Linked DNA regions of Rattus norvegicus. The protein of the gene in region 1 purifies or fractionates together with the protein of each later gene. This does not show direct contact. Links are inferred from orthologs where the notes say so. Each region holds a gene or a part of one and is shown in the gene's direction. Other genes may lie near its edges. The genes, in order: Mcmbp, Mcm8 and Mcm2.

Region 1 (7,190 bases):
ACAATCTGGCAAAACAATCAACTAAACAAAGTAATAATAAACTGCAAGCTTTCCTTAAATGTGCTTCCTAGAATACTGACTTCAGAGGACAGAGATCTAAACATTCTAGGAGAGGGAGCATGTAGCTCTTCATCAGATCATTAGCAAAAAATAAAAAATAAAAAACCCTAATAAAAAGATTCCCTGAAAAGGAAAACTAAAACTGAAGCCTGAAAACTAGTACCTCAAGCCTCCTGAGTGCAGGGATCCCAGAGGTCCAGCCCTGCTGTGCTGTCACACGTCTTTAATCCCAGCACATGGCAGAGGCAGGCAGATCTCTGTGAGTTTGAGCCTGGTCTACAGAGTGGGCTCCAGGACAGCCAGAGCTATACAATAAGAAACCCTGTCTCTACAAAACAAAAAACAAACAAACAAAATTCATAAGCACAGGGATCTATTTCCTGATGACTCCCCTTATACATGATTACCTCAGAAAAACCTGAATTCCAAAACAATCACTTTGCATAATTAACATCAAAAATGATTTTTTTTATTTTAGACCACAACAGGAAGAAAAAAACCTAATTATCAAGAAGAGAAAAAGGACAGAAAAGGGCACAGAATGAGATATACCTTTTAAGGGGATGCTCTGAGTGACCTTCTTCTAATCAGGTCCCTTCATGACTACACTCTTCTCAATTAAGGATCCATTGATGGGCACTGGAGATGTAGCTCAGCCTGGGCTACATAGTCAGTTCCAAGGAAACCTGGGATAGATGATAGATAGATAGATAGATAGATAGATAGATAGATAGATAGATAGAATCTCAGCACATAGATTTAATTTGTATATTATAAGGCACAGAGCTAAAATACGAAATTTCCCTCATTCAATTCCAAGAACATGGCTACTTTCTCTACTGAAAGAATGGATGAATAAAGTGGAAATACCATCTCTCATAGTTACTTTTCTTCTGTTGTGATACAATACTATGACAAGAAAACTTACAAAGATTTTAATTGGGTTTATGATTTTACAGGGTTAGAGTCTATGATGGCAGGGCAAAGGCCTGGTGACAGAACAGCTGACATCTCATGATCTGAAAACAGAAGGCAGAGAGTGCACACTGGGAGTGGTGGGAGGTTTCTGAAGCTAAGTCTGCCGCCATGACACATCTCCCCCCCCCCCAACAAGCCACACCTTTTAATCCTTCCTGAACAGTTCTACCAACTGGGAATCAAGTATTCAAACATTTGAGCCTATGGGGACTATTCTCATTGAAACAACTACATTGTCCTAGCCTTGTTAGCTTTCTCAACTCACAAAGCCAGACGTAAAGTCAGATTGAAATGCCAAGTCCAAATTACCTCTTTCATCCCAAAGCAAACCAGGGTGTCATTCCAAATCATGCTACTTTGGCATAAAGATTATCTTGAGCGAAGGCAACTGAACAGAACCACATATAAGAAAATCTCCTGCCTTCCCACTGTTTGTACAAAAGCAGGATATAGGGTTTCAAGGCTTCCTCCCTCCCTTTCTACCAGAAAAGACAGAAGCTAATCACCTGGAAGAACTTATATAAGATTTTATATACTATGTTAACCATGAAACTCTCATGTTTTGATTTCCTGCAACTTGTTGCCTTTGGGAACTAAGAACTACCTTCTTCTGTCATTTCTCTACAATGTTATTGTTCTTTGTGGATGATTGCTGTATAACCTCGAATTCTAAGATATTAAATTACTTTTTCCCAGTTGTTCATAAACTTGTGGCACACATGTTCATGAACTTAATTTTTTTTTTCAAGACAGGGTATCTCTGTGTAGCCCTGGCTGTCCTAAAACTCACTCTATAGACCAGGCTGGCATCAAACTCAGATTCACCTGCCTCTGCCTCCTGCGTCCTAGGATTAAAGGTGTGTGCCACCACTGCTTGGCTCTTAATATTTATTTATTTGTTTGTTTGCTTTTGAGACAGGGTCCTATGTAGCTCAGGCTGGCCTCAAATTGGGTATGTGGCCAAGGCTGTCTGTGAACTCCTGACCTTCCTTGCCTATATCCCAAATGCTATAATTTAAAGATAAGTTCATTCCAGGGGACCAAGAAAGGCAGAGGGGCAGGTTTGGTACCCTTTCCCTTCTGCCCTAGAGATTCCTGGGTTCAGTCAAAGCTGCCTCTGTTCATCTATTGCCATCTCTCCCTCTTTTATCCCTTGCTAGGGATTAAATCCAGGTGCCTCTGGCATACCAGGCAAGTGCTCTGCCACTGAGAAGTTCTTATTCTTCAGCTATCTAGATGCTATTCAGATCACCGCTACCTTTTTAAAGCCAAGTAGGTATAGATGGTGAAACCAGGGTTTTCTGAGGTACATCCCATACACAGGGAAAATGTCTTCTTTATGAAAACTTGACAGTTCCTAAGTTCTCTAGACTACAGGTTACAGTGGAGCTGCCCTTCTGCGTCGCCCTGTAAGAGTATTCTGATCTGTATGCTGTACAGGTATCTTGCCATAGCTCCCTAGTTGTCAGGTTGGAAGCAGAAGGGCTCTGGGTGTTTTTGAGGTTAGAAACTAAAGGCTGGGCTAGGAGAAAGTTCTGAGTGCTTGCCAGCTCCTTGGCCATATTGAGAAGCCCACAAGGCTACAAAGCCTCCTTGATTAAATCGTTCAGGAAGAACTCACTGAGCTGGGGGCAAGTTCTTTTACAGGATTTTGTGCAGGGCACCTTAGAAGAGTTCTACCACCAGAGTCACAAAGAGATCCGATGATCAGACACCGAATGGCGTTTCAACCCCTAATTTTGCTCAGAGATGACTCTTGAGGTTGGCTGAACTTGTGGCTTTTGGTCCGTGTGCAAGGTCTCAAACTTTGAGCCAATGAGGCACCCTGATGGAGTTTGCCTCCAACGCGCGAACACGGTGACCACTATACTCAAGCACAGTAGCCTTCCTCTGCCCGTCTCCAAGATGGCGGCCCCGGGATTGCCCTATCTCTACCCGTCTCCAAAATGGCCGCCCGCCCCGCCCACTCCCTCCCCTCCGGGAGTGCGCAGCACGCTCCCGCCGCCCCTCCTTCTTGAGCTCCACCCAGGTCTCTGGTAGCGCGGTCGGTGGCCGCGATTTCCCGCCATTGTGAGAAGTGGAGGCTGGGACGATCTCCCCTCCTCCGGTCGCTGGACAGCAGCTCTGAGACACTCGTCACCGTCGCCGCAACCACCTCTCCTTGAGACGCGCGGAGGCCCGTGGCTCGCGACGCCCGGCGCGTGGGAGGGCGCGGACGAGGAGCGGCTGAGCCCCCGAGGAGAAGCCGGGCTCCGAGCGCGCTCGCCCGGCAGAGAAGCGCCGCGCGGGCCGCGCTGGCCCCAGCCCTCAGCGCCATGCCCTGTGGAGAAGACTGGCTGAGCCACCCGCTCGGGATCGTGCAAGGCTTCTTCGGTGAGTGGCGCGTGGCGAGCAGGGCCGGGAGGGGAGCGGAGTTTGCGGGACCAGGCCTGCCGCGCGGCCACACTCGGGACGGCGGTCCGGGAGAATCACTGCCGAGGGCTCGCGTGGCCCCGGGCCTGGCAGCCAAGCAGAAGCAGCGGACTCGGGCCGCGGACGCAGGTGCCACCACCTCCCGTCACCTGCCCGCTGCCGGGCTCTGGCTCGCTGGCGGCGTGGACCCAGCTGCGAGCGCTGGCAGTGATTGACGGCCTGGCTCCCGGCTGGTGGCCTACCTAGCCCGGGTCCTGCAGACACGAGAGGTCCCCTTGCCCACGGAGGGCCCTCAGAGCGGTCGCGAAGAGAAGCCACTGCCTGTGGGAGCCTGCGGGATATTTCAAAACTTCCGGGGTGTGTGTAGGGGAGTGCTGGATCCTTCGCACAGAAGTTCATTCTGTTTCCACGTCTCCCTTGACATCCGAGAGAATGCTTCATTTTTTACCCCTGCTCTGTTGACTTAAAAACCCGTCAGCTCTGTTATTAGTTCCTGTACCAGGGCTAGCTAGAAATGCTCAGCTACTTAGATGAGTTGATACAGAACGAGAGCCGAGAGTGCTGTAGGCAAGCTGAGTAAATTTTAGTTGTAATTGTCATGGTTACTTTTTTTTTTTTTTTTTTTTTTTTTTTTTTTGCTTTACTGGACCTCCAATTCCCATTCGAATCCCTGATTTCGGTGCGCTTAATGACTGGCCGGAGCCACCAGTCTCCGTGGAATGTGTTTTCTGTACTAATGCTCCCACAGGATCCGATTCATTTTACCTAGAATTCTAACTACTCAGGTAGTTTCCCAGGGTGAAACTAAACCCGGTAGATAAAAGGACTGGGTAGACCTTAAGATTATAGCCAGTGAACACACAGTCTGATAAAGAGGAGCAGGGATGTGCAAGCCCACGAAAGAGTAAAACATGGGCTTGGGATATTATAGCTCAGTAGTAGAATGCATGCCTGGCCTGATGATGGTCTGAGTGTAGTGCAGGTGGAGAGAAGCTAGATCCATACCTAGCAATCTAGGGTGGTTTTCAAGGGGTGTGTGTGTATAAGCAGCTTACCTGTCATTCTGTCACCTGGAAGACAGCTCTGTCTCTAAAAAGAGAAAAAGGGTCCTATGTCCCTTCACCAAGTGCTAGTAATTGAAGTTCAGAATACTGCAGTCAACAGTTGAGACTAATAACAGATTAGCCCAGCCAAGATTCAGTTCTGGACTGGCTGAAAGTGCAAATGTGTAGATACATTCGAAGGAAAAGCTCCCCGTAGTTAAAGGTTTGGGACTTACAGGGTAAAGTTCCAATGACCGACCCCCAGAATTCCTTATCCTTTACTTTGAGGCAGATCTCTAACCTGATCTGGTCTCATGGAAGTCCTCCTGCCTCATCCTTTGGAGTGTGCCTGTGCCACTTGCCCAGCCAGAATCTCCATTTGTGAGAAATATCCCAGTACCCTGGTCTTGCTGTAGGAATGACGTGGTTTTAAATGCAATACAGATTGGATATATCGTTGTCGCGTTTCGTTCCTTAAGTGTGATCCTAAGGTATCACACCTCTTTATTGTACAGGAAAACACAGAACTTGATTACAAGTACTGTAGTATTTTCTAAATCTTGTGGAATGTTGTGGAAAGGTCATTGTTGCCCTCTGAATGGCTCTTAAGTGTAATCTGCCCTGCTCTGTATTTCCACTGTGTTTTCCTGTGGCTGTCATTCCGTTGGGCACCTTTATGATAAGAGTATTGAAGTTGCTGTATGAAAAGTTGGAGACTTTGGTCTGTGTTTGATTTTCGGTTTTGGTACTGGGGATTGAACCCAGTACAGGCAGGCAGGTACATAGTCCATCCCTGAAGATGGTCTTACTGGCTCCACACCAAGCGTCCCTCCAAGTGTTGCATCGGCTTCAGATATTAAATATCTCTTGACCCTGTCAGATATCTTCATCTTCAACACTGCTGCCATAGCCCAGGACCTTGTAGTCATGTTTTAGACTTCTGCAACAGCTTCCAAGTCTCTTGCACTTATATGCTACAACCAGTGGCTTCCGGCTGCTTCTAGAGACTTTCCCTGTTTGGGTTTTAATTTTATAAGTAACCCCAGGTTGCCCTTGAATTCTCCATTTTCCACCTCAGCCTCTTGGTGTGTGGAGATTACTAGTAAATATCACTGTAGTTGTGTTGACCTGAGTATGTTATGACCTCAGTACCTGACCTACACCTTTTTCCTCCTCTGATGCCCTGTACACTGTATAGCCCAGGCTGGGCTTGAGCCTCTAAATTCTGGGATTACAGGCATGTACTGTCTCTTCTGGCTTTCATCGGTATGTCTTCTGAGGTGTTTTTATATCTACTTGTGCTTTTCTCTGAGGATACATGGACATGGACAGGGGCCCTTGGATACCAGAAGTTATAGGCCCTTGTGAGCTCTTTTCCTGTGGGTGCTAGGATACACTTTTTACTCTTAATTTTCCTCTTATTTTCGTTTGTTTCCTTGTTTGGCTGAGACTGTTTGATGTGGCTCAGGTTGGCCTCCAGCTCCCTAATCAAACATGCCCCTACTTTCCAAGTGCTGGGCTCACATCCACGTCTCACTGTGCTTACCCCCACCCCATATGAATAATTTGAATTACTACCCACTTTGACTTAAGCTCTTGTCATTTTACCTAGGCTGGCATCCACCACTTCCTGGGTTCAAGTGACCCTCCTTTAGCTTCTAAGTAGCTGGGACCACCAGTAGGAGATGGGCCACTAGTCGTACCCATAACAAACAACACACACACACACACACACACACACACACACACACACACACACACACACACACACACGCCTGCTCGCTCGCTCTCTCACTCAGCCGTCCCACTGGCCACGTAACTGCTCTTGATTCCAGGTAGCTTGTAACAGCTGCCTCTTCATTTTAGGTGTTTCAGTTTTGGCTTAGTTGGGTTCCTTGGTTCATTCTAATGGATGAGGCTGGCCAGCGTCTGAAGGAGGAAGTCTGAGACTAATCACTAGTGTTTTCAAAAGTTCAAAGCAGTAATGAGATCAGCGGAAGCTGCTCTGTTCTTGTCATCAGTCCACTGTCTTGTGTGCACCCAGTGTGGAGCTCTTCACCTACTGCCCGGCTCTTGATAGGTGCTAAAGAGTAATTTATGGTAAGACTAGAGCCCAGGGAAAGGGCCTGGGTGTTTTGAGGAACTGCGTTCTAGGACTAAGAGAAGCAGGAGGACACTCGGCTCTGTGTGTTAACTTGCAGTTTTTCTCTTCCGTATCAAACTCACTTGTCCTCAGTGCCAGCACATACCTCATCCCAAATTCTAGGGGTAGAAAATCTACTGTCATCTCATGATTAGCTACCTCTGATGGCCATGAGGGTTGTTGTGTAGGACAGTCATGGCCATTGAGGAGGTTTTCAAAGAAACCTGAATTGAACAGCCATGGCAAAATGTGTGAGTATTTAAGCTATAAATAAGAACTAACATGTGGTTACAAGGCCAATACAGATCTGCTAAGTTAGTTATTATATGTTCTCCCGTTGAATGAAACTCCTTTTGTTTGATTTTTCTATTTTTTTAAGACAGGATCTCACTATGGAGACCAGGCTGGCCTCAAACTTACATCTATCCACTTGCCTCTGCCTCTGCCTCTGGTGTGCTGGGATTAAAGCCGTGTGGCACCAAGCCTTGCTCAGCTGTTCCTACTTTCCAGTGGTTTGTGTGTGGCTTTCTGGGGTGGCGAAACATTCTTATTCA
Region 2 (6,274 bases), on another chromosome or scaffold:
AGATACGAGTTTGCTTCATGTCAGAATCAGCGTGCTTTGCTAGTTCCTCTCTGCTCCTGAATAACAGTTTTATACAGTTGAATAACAAGGATTTTGCAGTCCAACTTGAGACCGCCATGGCAGGTTTTACCACGGGGGTCACAAGGTGGCTCAGCACAGTAACAGTGCCTGGCATACAAATCAGATGACTTGATGCCTGGAAACAAAGTAAATGTGGAAGGAGAGAAATAACTCCACAGAGCTGCTCTCCGATCTCACACTTGTGTTGGAGCATGTGTACACACAATTATAGTGTTCTCCAGTGCTAGTGCGGTGCATGCTAGTGGGCACTACTGTCTGCCAGATTTGACCCTGTGAAGGTGAGACTGCATAGGTCCTCCTTCTCCGACTCAAGGCCATAAACTGAGGTCAGATCAGAAGTTACAAAAAAGTCTTAGGGTCTGGCACTTATTGCTGTCCTGATCAGTAGGGGGTGGAGCTCATGATCATTTTCTCCCTTCCCCTGTAGGGAGACTTCACCTCACTTTGCTTGTGCTCACGCTTGTTCTGTGTCTGTGGCTCCTTTCCTCTGCTTATGGGCAGAAGGGCACCCTGCTGCCCCTAAGGCCTGAGCTACATCTGCTGCTTGTTTCCTGACTTCATAGGCAGTCTGTGGAAGGAGACTTTTCTCTTTAATTCAGTATGTCAGCAACAAGAGGAGAGAATTGTTTGATCTAAGTGCCTGGATTATCTGGCATTCTCAGAGATGGAGAGCCAGCTAAACACATCACATTGAGATTTGTTAGACTTACCATGCTTTCTCAGTCTATGAGAACGAGGACCTCCTCTTTTACCAGGGTCTTCCAGGGCCAGAATCATGGCTGGCACATGGTATTAAATGTCCTTCATTACTCAAAAATGTTTGCCCTTTTGCAGTTCCTATCTCTTCTGCTTCATTGAAACCATGGTTAATGTGTTATACCTATAAAATTACGTTTGCAACTGGGAAGCAGAAGACGGAGCAAGCAAAGTCTAAACCGTAACATAGTTCATCTGAGTTAGCAGAGTTAACATTTTTGGAAAGTAAACATTTTTATTTAGTAAATAGTTTCTGTTTACTAAATAACGTTTACAATCGTGAAAATATTGTAGGAAGAAGAATAGCGCTACTTCCTGAGATTAGGTTGCTGAGAGCTTTTCTACTTCGGGGAAGTCTGCCAGATAGTGTACAATTTGGTTTTCAAGTGGAAGCAAGGTAGCGTGGATTAAATTCCCAGGTGTCAGTTATTAGTGTAACATTTGGTCTTCATCGTACTTTATGCACATTTCTGTTTTAGAGTTTCTCATCTACTAAGGAACAGATCGTGACTATCAAGGTCATCCCTAAGGACTCCTTAAGCATAATGCTAGTCACTGTCAAGATCCTGAGGACTCCTTGAGGACAGTGCTGATCTGTCCTAGTGGGTGACCAGTACATATTTGATAGTTCCTGAGTAAACACTGCCTGCTAAGCTGCGAATGGGATCTTATGTCCCATTGTACAGATGGGAATCAGCAGTCGAGCTGGATTTACAGGGCAGGCAATGCCATCTGTAATGGGTATTGAAGTGTTTATTTTTGGCGTTGGGGATTTGGCTCAGTGGTAGAGCGCTTGCCTAGCAAGCACAAGGCCCTGGGTTGGTCCCCAGCTCCGAAAAAAAGATTTAAAAAAAAAAAAAGAAGTGTTTATTTTTAAGATTTCTTTATGGGTGTGGGCATTTTGCCTGCACAGTGCCCTCAAGAGGCCAGAATAGAGGATGAAATCCCATGGAGTTGTGGGTGCTTTTAAACCCCAGTCCTCTGCAAGAGCAGTCTGTGATCTAAACTATGGAGCTGTTTCTCCAGCCCTCCTAGTGTTTTAAACATCTTTTCTTTGTAGATGCTGTGGTAGGAAATAATAACACACCCTTACCTAGGAAACCTCAAAATATTGTGTTCAGAAATTTTAGTTTTATAAATCAGAAACGATGTTTTTGGTTAAGTTTAAGTTTTTGGTTAAATGTTTTTGGTTTCAACTCTACAGTTTACATTTCATATTTACAAATTTGTTTTGGTGTTTTGAGATAGGATCCCTCCCTCCACATCCCTAACTGGCCTGGTACTTGATGTATTTCGGCTATCTTTAAACTCAAGGGAGTTCTTACGCCTTAGCTCCTGAGTACTGAGATTACAGGCATTTACTCCTACTCCTGGCAAAAGTTTTTGGTTGTGGTTTTGTTCTTTTAAAAAAAATCAGTAATTGTGTTCAAACTACTTTCATGTCAATCTATATAATAATGGATTTAAAGTAGCCAAGTCTCACAGCCACTCCCAGACTTCTATTACGAATTGGAAACCCAGCCCAAAAATTTCTGTAGCCCTGCCATGTGAGATAATCAGCTAATCCTTTCTTTTCCATCTTTAAGCATGCTAGGAACTTACTCAGATGAATTTGGAAACCTGGACTTTGAGCGATCCCAGCATGGCTCTGGAATGAGCAACAGGTCAACAGCTAAAAGATTTATTTCTGCTCTCAACAGCATTGCTGAAAGAACGTATAACAACATATTTCAATTTCATCAACTTCGTCAGATTGCTAAAGAGCTAAACATTCAGGTAGGATGACCTAAATACTGAGGTCAGTGTCAGAGGGTTCTCCTTAATACAACAAAACTGCTTGTTTTGCTTTGTTTTGTTTTTCTAGCCATTTTCTCTGTGTAGCCCTGGCTGTCCTGGAACTCTGCATACCAGGCTGGCCTTGAACTCAGAGATCTGTCTGCCTCTGTCTCTTGAGCGCTAGGAATAAAGGCAAGCATATCCAGGCCTGAGAACAAAATCGCATTTTAGTTTTGAGATTTTGTTACCTCTTCCCAAAGGTTTTGGCATTTCAGTTGAGGACTTTTTTTAAAAGCAATACTGGTGCTCTGTCTATTCTGGAGCGTCCTGTGGCTGCTCATCGTGATGGCTCCTGTCTCATTTGGTGAATGGACGTGATCCCTGCTGCTCCTACTTTGGAGCTCTAGTGGAGCCACAGAGCTGCACGTTAATATGGCAAGTAGTTGAGGTGTAAGATCACGCACTTTCAGACGCTAGTCCAAAGCTAGTCTTAGCTGAGGTTGGGCTCTTAGTAAAGACAGAGGGTTCTTTATTTAATGGTGTGCTACACGAAGCACACGCTGTTTTTTGTTTATTTGCCCGAGAAGCTTGCTGGGTAACTGTCTCTGTAGAGACTGATGTGGAAGTCATATTTGGCATGTTACTGAGTGCGCTGACTCTTAACGTTTGCTTTTAGGTTGCTGACTTTGAAAACTTCATTGGATCACTGAATGACCAGGGTTATCTCCTGAAAAAAGGCCCAAAGATTTATCAACTTCAAACTATGTGAAAGACTTTCCTATGTCAGGGCCTCCTGTAGTTCAAAAAATTTCAGAATCATCTTAAATATAAAACTGAAAATAAAAGTTCTGAAAAATGACACAACTCATAACAGAAAAAAAGGTATATCCATAATTTACCAGAAGAATACGAAGAGTAAATTATTTCCACTATTTTATCTAAATAACATAAGCATTATTTATGCTTTTGGCTTATATTTTTATTAGTGCTTTTTAGTTTTGTATATCAGATGTCTAGCAGGCATTCAGATAATATATAAATTAGTATGTGTTTAAGTTTTATTTAAAACATTAAACTTTGAATCTCACAAATTGTTAAGGTCACAAAAACTCTTCATTTGTTTCTAACTTTATGGTTATGGGCAGTGGGTCTGACTTGGCTTCTTATTTGAAAGTGGTGGAAACTTATTGACTTAATTAGAAGTCTTTTCTGAGAAGTATTGTTTGCAGAATTGTTTGAATGCTGATGATTTAAAAAAAAAAACAAAAAAACCTTCCCGGGGTTGGGGATTTAGCTCAGTGGTGGGGGGGGGGGGGACAATGCCATTCCTGTAGCTGGAAGTCTCTGCAGAAGGTGAAGGAATGTCGCCTGCACCAGAGCAGCTGCAAGACGCACTCTTCATCCGGCCTCCTCATGCGGCCTCCTCATGCTGCAAGTTCAAAAGAGAAAGCACATGAAGAAGCATGGGTTTGAAACGCTGGATTACAGGCTGGGAAGTTTCCATGAAATCAGAATTCACCATATTTTTGTGAGTCTTCAAATGGAACTGGACCTCTTGCCAAAGCATTCCTTGTATATATAGCCAACAAACACTTTAGCATTTAAGATCCACGGATTGGAAATTAGTCACTTAACTTCCAAGAAACTGGTAGATGAAAAGCTAAAAAACAAAATACCCAAAAGCTGAGTTGGAGAGATGGCTCATTTGGTGAAGTCTGAGGATCTAAACTCAGATTCTCTTATAAAAAGCTAAGGATGCTTCATTTGTAATGGAATGCTGGGTGGGGGTAGGAGAAAGGCAGTTCCCTGAGGCTCACTGGCCAACCTGACTGAACTGGGGAAGTCACGCAGCATCAGCCTCTGCCCCCAACACTTACACACGTACAAAAGCAGTGTGCATTGAGTAACCAAAATTAAACAAATGCTAATTATTTTACGAATGTGTAACTGATATTCAGTCTGTCCCATCAGTCCATGATGAGAGAAAGATGGGCCTATCACACCACTGTATTAAAGGCTAAGACTACACACAAGGGAATCTAACCCTAATTATGAACAGAAACTGACTTTGTTTTTGTTTTTGAGAAGTTTCCCTCTATGTAGCTCTGGCTGTTGTGGAACTCAGAGATCCGTCTGCCTCTGCCTCCCAAGTGCTGGGATTAAAGCTGTGCACCACCAACTCCCGAATTTTCCTTTATTCCTTTTCTCTTTCTTTCATGCCATTGCCTGGATTTTTCTTTTTCTCTTTTTTCTTTTCTTTTTTTTAAATTGAAACAATCCCAGGCTGGCCTTAACTTCCCATATAGCCTAGCCCTCCGCCTCTGGATTTCCTGTATGCTAGAAAAGAACTCTGCCAGCTGAGCCATACCCCAGCTGAGTGTTCCCTTAGAGTCTGTATCTGTTTGCTTTGGTATCTGCTGTCGCAGGGCTAGACTGACAGCTGAAGCTGTTCCCTTTTCCTCAGAGCCAGCATTTTTAACTCCAAAAAATTACATACTCTCCAACTCAGACCTCGTCTGTGTCTCATCTGCTCAGCACACCAGCATCTCCCCATAAAGGCTCTGGCCTCTGGCTTGCTTTTTCTTCCTTTTTCCCACTTCTCACAGGATGATCCAAAGTTTGCCTATGTCTGAGAAACACATGAGTAGTTCGAATGGTTATTTTAAAATTTAAAAAAGTGTTTTACATTTTCTTTTAATGTATATAGATTTTTAAATTTTTTATTTTATTTTTTTGTTTTTGCAGACAGGGTTCTCCAGGCAGCCTTTGGTTGTCCTGGAACTCTCTGTAGACCAGGCTGGCTGGACTCAGACTCACAGAAATCCACTTGCTTTGGCCTCCTAAGTGCTGGGATTAAAAACATTTGTTACCACTCAAAAATTTTAATATATATGGATTTTTAAAATTTTCCTTATTTTTTAATGTTTTGCCTGAATGTGTATCTGTGTGCCACATGTGTGCCTGGTTCCCTCTCTGTGCCTGGAAGGCAGAAGAGGGCATCAGATTCCTAGGAACTGGTGTACAAGAAATTAAAGACAGTTGGACCTCCCAGCACTTGGGAGGCAGTTAGGCAGATCTCCCAATGCAACCCAACTTGCTGTACAAATCAAGGTCCAGGACAGTCAGAGCCACACAAAGATCCCCTCTCAAAAACAAAACAAAAACAAAGATGAACCTGATGAAATGCTCCTTAAATCTACAATCATCAAGTGTAGTTTGGGCTTTACGAACAACTTTCAGGTTTTTGTATGCCATCACAGACTGGGCTGAAGAATAGTGGAAAGACTGCAAGACCCTACATTGCCATGCGGTGTTCTTCCATGGGTATGGTTCTGGCCCAACCTGGGAAGGCGCTGGGTTCAAGCCCAGTGCTATAACAAATGGTAGGAACATTTGTAAGGTTAGGAAGACAACGCACCAGTAATGTGTAATTTATAATAACAGGTTCATTGTTAGAACAGTGAACGGATTTGTAACTAGTTCAGACTTAGAATAAGCAAGTTTCTTCTGTACACGGGTTTCACTACCTGTAAAAGTAAAGGCAAATACAGAACGTATGCTAGAGTTGTTGAGAGGATAAATAATGGTACTATAACGTATACAGTAAGCACGTTTCCCAAGTAAACAATTAGTGATTGCTATTATTGGCAGTTCCCTTTGC
Region 3 (6,401 bases), on another chromosome or scaffold:
CCTTTCCATAGGGGATATCGGAGGGCTATGAGCCTTCGTAGGGACTGTAATTTTCTGCTCCTTTTGATTCTTTGCTTTAACACCACCAGGCTACGTATGAAGAGACTATGTCTGCAATGAACGCCCATGTATGACAGGAGTTGATACAGATCATCCTGGGCTCATCGTCAAGGGCTTCCCTGCAGAATTGCTCTCAGGGGGCCTCCTGTACCACCTCCTCTTATTCTTGTATTTGTACCTCTGGTTTTGTTTGGTTGTTTTTATTGTTGTTGTTTGAGACAAGGTTTCACTGCGTAGCCCTGACTGTCCTGGCTTTTATAACCTCTTCTTTAAAGTGAGAGACATTTTGGAGATGTCTGAGGACTATCTGACTTTGTATGGAAAGAGGCTAATTTCTATATATAAGCCTTATCCTTATATATACAGCACAGGGATGGTCCATGCATGCTTTCTGAGCACCATTTTTATCACCCCCACTGTGGTCTCTTCTGCCTGTTGATCCCAGTTCTAATCATATTACTAGGGCTGGAATCACTGTGTTCATCCTTTTGTGCCAACATTTCACTCTGCGGTGTCTTCAAAGTAAAGTCTTTTTTTTTTTTTTTTTAAATGATTTGAGTGTTTGACCACATGCATACCTATGCCTGCAGAGACCAGAAGAGGGCGTCAGGCCCCATTAAACGTGTTAATGAGGTTGCTACTATGTGGATGTGAAAACTGAACCCAGGTCTTCTGCAAGAGCAGCCAGTCATTTTTTTTTAATGTCTTATTTTTTTAATATTTAATTGCATGACTCACTGTGTTTGTGTGTGGGTGCATGTGCCATGGTATGCTTGTGGAGGTCAGAGGACGGCTTGCTGGAGTTGAAATTTGATGAAACCCAGATTGTGTGGTTTATGGGCTTCAGTGTAGGCTAACTAGAACCTCACTGAGTGTGCTTCAGGTAACTGGGATCCTCTAAGGATCAGAACACACTCTTCTCAGAAACTATTACTTTCTGCACAGAACTAGTCGGCATGTCTGCCTGCTTTGCCTCGCCTTTGGCGGTTTTGAAATTGTTTGTTTTGAGAGGGTAGTTTGAGAACATTAGCCAGTCACTCTGAGAAAGGGAGAGCTCCAGGGGTCTGTTTCCCTAGTAGGTCCCTGCTTCTGTGGGGAGGCCTGTGGCACTGAGGAAGGAGCTTGCAGCCTGTTGCACTGCACTTGTCCCTTAGTCCTGATGATCGACTATAAAATCGGGCACCGTAGGGAAGCTGGGCTTGGCCCTCCGTTAGATGATGCTTCCTTTCAAGGACCAAACACGCGGTCACCTGGAAAGAGACTGCTCAGACTTGAGCCACTGGGCGAGAGCTTTTCAGGCAGCCTGTCTGTCTGGGTTGTGTTCAGTTGGGGAGAAGGCATAGGGAGGGTGTCATCCTGGGACACACTGGGATCTGCTCTCTGACCTTACTGGTGTCAGGGTCTTGGCACCCTCTAATTCCATTTCATTTTCTTTTTAAATTTTAAAAAATGATTTGTTTACTTTATGTGCGTTGGTGGTTTTATTTACCTGCACATATATCTGTGTGAGGGTGTTGGGTCCCCTGGAACTGGAGTTACAGACAGTTGTGAGCTGGGAATTGAACCCAGTTCTTCCTGAAGAGCAGCCATTGCTCTTTACTGAGCCATGTCTCCAGCCCCTACTTCCATTTTCTTATCGGGAGTTAGGAGCTCTTTGGAGATCCCCCATATAAAAAAAGAAAAAGAAAAGTGTGTGTCCTTGAGTGTCTGGAGTTTATGCACATGGGTGTATAGGTGGCCGCAGAAGCCAGAAGAAAGTGTCAGATCCCCCACCTGAAGTTGGAGTTCTACAGGTTGGTTTATGAGCTATCTGAACTGAGAGCTGGGAACTCGGGTCCTACTGAGCCTTCTCTCCAGCCCAGCCCCCTCAATTAAATGCACAGCAAAGTGTTTCTCCATTTTTAGTGTGTGGCTCAGTGGCATTCATCTGCCTCAGTCCTCCAGAACTTTTTATTGTCTCAAAACTGAATCTTCCCCCAGAATACTGACTTCCTGTCCCCATTTGGGTCTGACCCCTCAGGATCCCATAGGAGTTGTATGGCTTAATCCATTGGTGAAACGTCGTCGAGATTCATCCATGCAGGTTCACCTGTCAGATTCCCCTTCTGTTTTAAGGTTGAGTGATAATCTACCCTGTGGGTTTGTCCACTGATCACCCTGGGATGTTACCGCTAACTCCTTTAAAGTTTGCCTTGACTGACCTCAAACTCTCAGATCTGCCTGATGGCCTCCTGGCTCCTGGAAGTAAGGCTACTAGACCCAGTTAAAATGGTTGTTGTTTAATTTAAAAAGTTATATGTGGGTGTATCTGTAGTACATACATTTGAGGTGCAGGTGCCCAGTATGGGTGCTGGGAATTGGATTCTTATTCTCTCAGCAAGAGCAGTTTGTGAAGTAGGTGCCGTGGCACACACACAGCTTTAATCCCAGCACTTGGGAGGCAGAGACAGATAGATCTCTTGAGTTCCAAGACAGCCACAGCTACACAGGGAGTAGTACATTGCTCTTTCAACCCCTGAACCATCTCTAGCCCCAGATGTGTTCACACTGTTGAGAGAAGACCTGGTTAACCAGTTAGTACCTTTCATATTTCCATCGGTGTCCTGAAATTCTAGAGATTTTCCCACTTTAGTTATCCAAAGAATTCTATTGCATTTATTAAGTTTTTGTACTTTCTGACCTGTGTTCTGAGTCCCCCATTTCCTCCCTGACTGTGACAGTTTTCATGCTTTCTTGTTTCTGATGAAAATGGTGCCAATTGGTGACTGTAAAAATGACCTTATTTGATACTTTGTTGGTAATTCTCTCGAGCAGGTTAGGTTGGGAGACTGCATATAGGGGAAGCATTGGCTGCAGCCATCACATATCACCAGCAGGTGGCGCTGTGGATGTGGGGCTTGCTCTCCTGCCCAGACTCACGTGTACCTCATGCATACAGATGGACCCCCTTTTCCATCCTATTGATTTATGCCTCCTTGATGGAGTCCCTAAATCATATTCTTGAACATTTCAACTTCCTGTTTGCAGCTGTCCAGCAAAGCCTGTGGAGCAGAACTAATTCTCAGGTGGGTTGTTTGAGGATTCATTGTCCACTGCTGGCCTCTTGCAGAGACTACCGTCCCATTCCCGAGCTCGATGTCTACGAGGCAGAGGGATTGGCCCTGGATGATGAAGATGTGGAGGAGCTGACAGCCAGTCAGAGGGAGGCAGCTGAGCGGGCTATGAGGCAGCGGGACCGTGAGGCTGGCAGAGGCCTGGGTCGCATGCGTCGTGGGCTGCTGTATGGTATGTGTGGAGGGCATCCCATAGGTGCCACTTGGACCACCAAAGCCTCGGGAGTGGGGAAGACATGGGTGGCAAGTGTGCAAAGGATGCTGGGAGAGACTTGCTCACAGGAGTTCCTTGCTACTACCCAAGACAGCGACGAAGAAGATGAGGAGCGGCCTGCCCGTAAGCGCCGCCACATAGAGCGTGCCACAGAGGATGGCGAGGAGGATGAAGAGATGATTGAGAGTATTGAGAACCTGGAGGACCTCAAGGGCCACTCGGTGCGAGAGTGGGTGAGCATGGCAGGGCCCAGACTGGAGATCCACCACCGTTTCAAGAACTTCTTGCGCACCCACGTGGACAGCCATGGCCACAACGTCTTCAAGGAGCGTATCAGTGATATGTGCAAAGGTATGTTCCTGATAGTCTGGGGTGAGGTGTAGCACTCACCATGAGTGAGGTCCTGGTTCAGTCTCAGCAGTAAAGGGTGAAGGTGGCCTGGCTTCTGTATCCTGCTGGCTTTGTTGTACCACACTGAGCCACATAATGGACAGAAACATTTGGTTGCAAGGACAGAACCTGCGGAACCCAAGGTTTCCTGCATCTGCACCAGAGCTAGGCTGTTTGAAGATGTGCTTAAAAATGTATTACTACCCTGTTTTGTTTTTTGGAGGGCTTATTTCTTTGTTTGGTTTGGTTCGGTTGATTGGTTGGGTTTTGCAGTCAGGTTGAACCCAGGGCCTAGCAAGTGTTCTCCCACTGAACCACTCCCCAGCCTGTGCTTTACAACTTTGATCCAAAAGTGGGAGCGTTTCTACATGACAGCATTGGCTTTACAGGGTACAACAGCTTGGGGCTGTGGCAGCCCCTCCAGCAATGACAGTAGCTTCTCCTTGGCCTCTGGCACTCTGCTCTGTAGCCTGAGGGCTCTCTATTTCTCCTGGAAATGACATCCCCAGAGATCTGTGTGCTGTTAATATTATCACTTGGGTCTCTATTGCACAGCCACAGGTAGTGGGTCTAGGGTGTAAACTGGAATTTCTGTCCCTCTCAGGTTTGTTTTGGGTAGAGGGGTTTGGCCAGCAGGGTTCTAAGATGTTAGACACCTTCATGGCCCCTGGCTATGTCATCTGTCCCATCCACTATCCTCCTCAGAGAACCGGGAGAGTTTGGTGGTAAATTATGAAGACCTGGCAGCCCGGGAACATGTGTTGGCATACTTCCTACCCGAGGCACCCGCTGAGCTGCTGCAGATCTTCGATGAGGCTGCCCTGGAGGTTGTGCTGGCCATGTACCCTAAATATGACCGCATCACCAACCACATTCACGTGCGCATCTCCCACCTGCCTCTGGTGGAGGAGCTGCGTTCACTGAGGTGAGCAGTGTGGGAGAGCGGGGCCTCATCCAGAGAGTGGTGAAGGAAGTGGTCCCATAGCCTCCCGATGCCTCTGACGTGCTTGTTACCTCTCAACACAGGCAGCTACACCTGAACCAGCTCATCCGTACCAGCGGTGTGGTGACCAGCTGCACTGGAGTCCTGCCCCAGCTCAGCATGGTCAAGTATAACTGTAGCAAGTGCAACTTTATACTGGGGCCTTTCTGCCAGTCTCAGAACCAGGAGGTGAAGCCTGGTTCCTGCCCTGAGTGCCAGTCAACTGGGCCCTTTGAGATCAACATGGAGGAGGTGAGTAGCACAGACCTGCCACACTGTCTTCAGTATGCAAGGCCTGGGCCATCTACAGGGCCAGAAGACTTTGAGGCAGTTAAACATGGCAGCACGAAGTAGATTGACCCCATGTCTTCAGTAATTCAGCATATTTGAAACTAGGTGATGTTCAGTGTATCCACATTAGTGATCTCTAAAGATAGTGGCAAACAGGGCCACTTAGACCTGTCCACCCCAGTAGAGCACCTACATGCCTATCACATGGGCACTTGGACCGTCTGTCGTCTCATTTGGTGGGCCTGACTGGCTCCTCGTGATTTGTGGGTGTATCCAGGGTTATACCACCTTGGATCCTGCAGAGCCTTGCTTGGGAGACTGTGTACCTCCTGACTCTGAAATCCTGGGGCCAGCATGGATGCCTTTGTACTTGTCTTCATCTGCAGCTGCCCCTACCTCTCCCCCACTGCTGCCTGGCTCTGGGAGTGTTAGCACTCATGATGCTTTCTGTGGTTCTGAGCTGTCTAGTTTAGAGCTGCCTGGCCAGGAGGTTGCCCATGACGGTGTTCAAGCCCAGCTCTGCTTTAACCTGGGTGACCCAGCTCCAAGGCTGCACTTAGCTGTATCCCTTTGTCCTTTGCAGCCCCACCTTGGACTTTGGCCCCAGGACACTGAGCTGTACAACAGGAATTAACAAGTGGGGTCAAGTGTGTGCTGGCCTTGCTGGCTGCCAGGAGTGTTCCTTGGGTCTTTGTCTTGATTATGTTCTGGGAGGGAGGTTCCACGGCTCTCTTCTCATGTAAAAACAGGTGTTTGGAGGCTTGATTGTCTAAAGTCTCCCGTGCTGCAGTGTCCTGAGGAACAGGCGAGCATGTAGATGTGACTGTGTGCTTCTTCTATCCGGACAGGGGCTCACTGTAACCATGACTAGCCTAAAGTTCACAGACATCTACCTAACGTTACCTCTGGAACTCCGGGCTTAAAGGTGTACACCACCATGACCTGATACTGTGCTCTTTTAGCCACTGTGTCCTGTGGATCAGTCAGCTCTGGGTTCCTGTAACTAAACCCCTAGCGTCATTGACTTGAAGGAGGAAAGCTGATTTATGGCTTGGTTTTAGAGTTGGCGTTCGGGGTCAGTTGACCCTGCGGCTTTGGGCCTGTGTGTAGCCGTGATGGTGTGCAGTACAGCAAACTGCTCACCTCACATAGGAGACACAGAAGAGAACAAGAGACTAGCCAGGATGCTTCAGTCCCCTGCAGGGGTGTACCTCTATGACCTAAGGCCTCCCACAAGGCTCCATCGTCTCTCATACGTGGACTGAAGAATCAGTGCCCTACAAATAGGCCATGGGGGACATTTGCAGCCCAGGCTGTAGTATGTTGTCTCCTTTTTGGATAGTAAATGAAC

The links.
Region 2: the proteins of Mcmbp (region 1) and Mcm8 purify together in Homo sapiens (co-immunoprecipitation; 3 studies listed by BioGRID and IntAct, with this or other methods). This does not show direct contact. The link is inferred for Rattus norvegicus from reciprocal best matches to the Homo sapiens genes MCMBP and MCM8.
Region 3: the proteins of Mcmbp (region 1) and Mcm2 purify together in Homo sapiens (co-immunoprecipitation; 6 studies listed by BioGRID and IntAct, with this or other methods). This does not show direct contact. The link is inferred for Rattus norvegicus from reciprocal best matches to the Homo sapiens genes MCMBP and MCM2.

What each region holds. Positions count from the first base shown.
Region 1 is NC_086019.1:192,743,263-192,750,452, reverse strand, and holds the start of Mcmbp (mini-chromosome maintenance complex-binding protein), read left to right. Parts: upstream 1-3,071; 5' UTR 3,072-3,353; coding exon 3,354-3,411; intron 3,412-7,190. UniProt on the Homo sapiens protein: Associated component of the MCM complex that acts as a regulator of DNA replication.
Region 2 is NC_086021.1:140,566,067-140,572,340, forward strand, and holds the end of Mcm8 (DNA helicase MCM8), read left to right. Parts: intron 1-2,423; coding exon 2,424-2,613; intron 2,614-3,289; coding exon 3,290-3,382; 3' UTR 3,383-3,825; downstream 3,826-6,274. UniProt on the Homo sapiens protein: Component of the MCM8-MCM9 complex, a complex involved in the repair of double-stranded DNA breaks (DBSs) and DNA interstrand cross-links (ICLs) by homologous recombination (HR).
Region 3 is NC_086022.1:122,910,065-122,916,465, reverse strand, and holds part of Mcm2 (DNA replication licensing factor MCM2), read left to right. Parts: intron 1-3,169; coding exon 3,170-3,345; intron 3,346-3,477; coding exon 3,478-3,738; intron 3,739-4,482; coding exon 4,483-4,702; intron 4,703-4,803; coding exon 4,804-5,011; intron 5,012-6,401. UniProt on the Homo sapiens protein: Acts as a component of the MCM2-7 complex (MCM complex) which is the replicative helicase essential for 'once per cell cycle' DNA replication initiation and elongation in eukaryotic cells.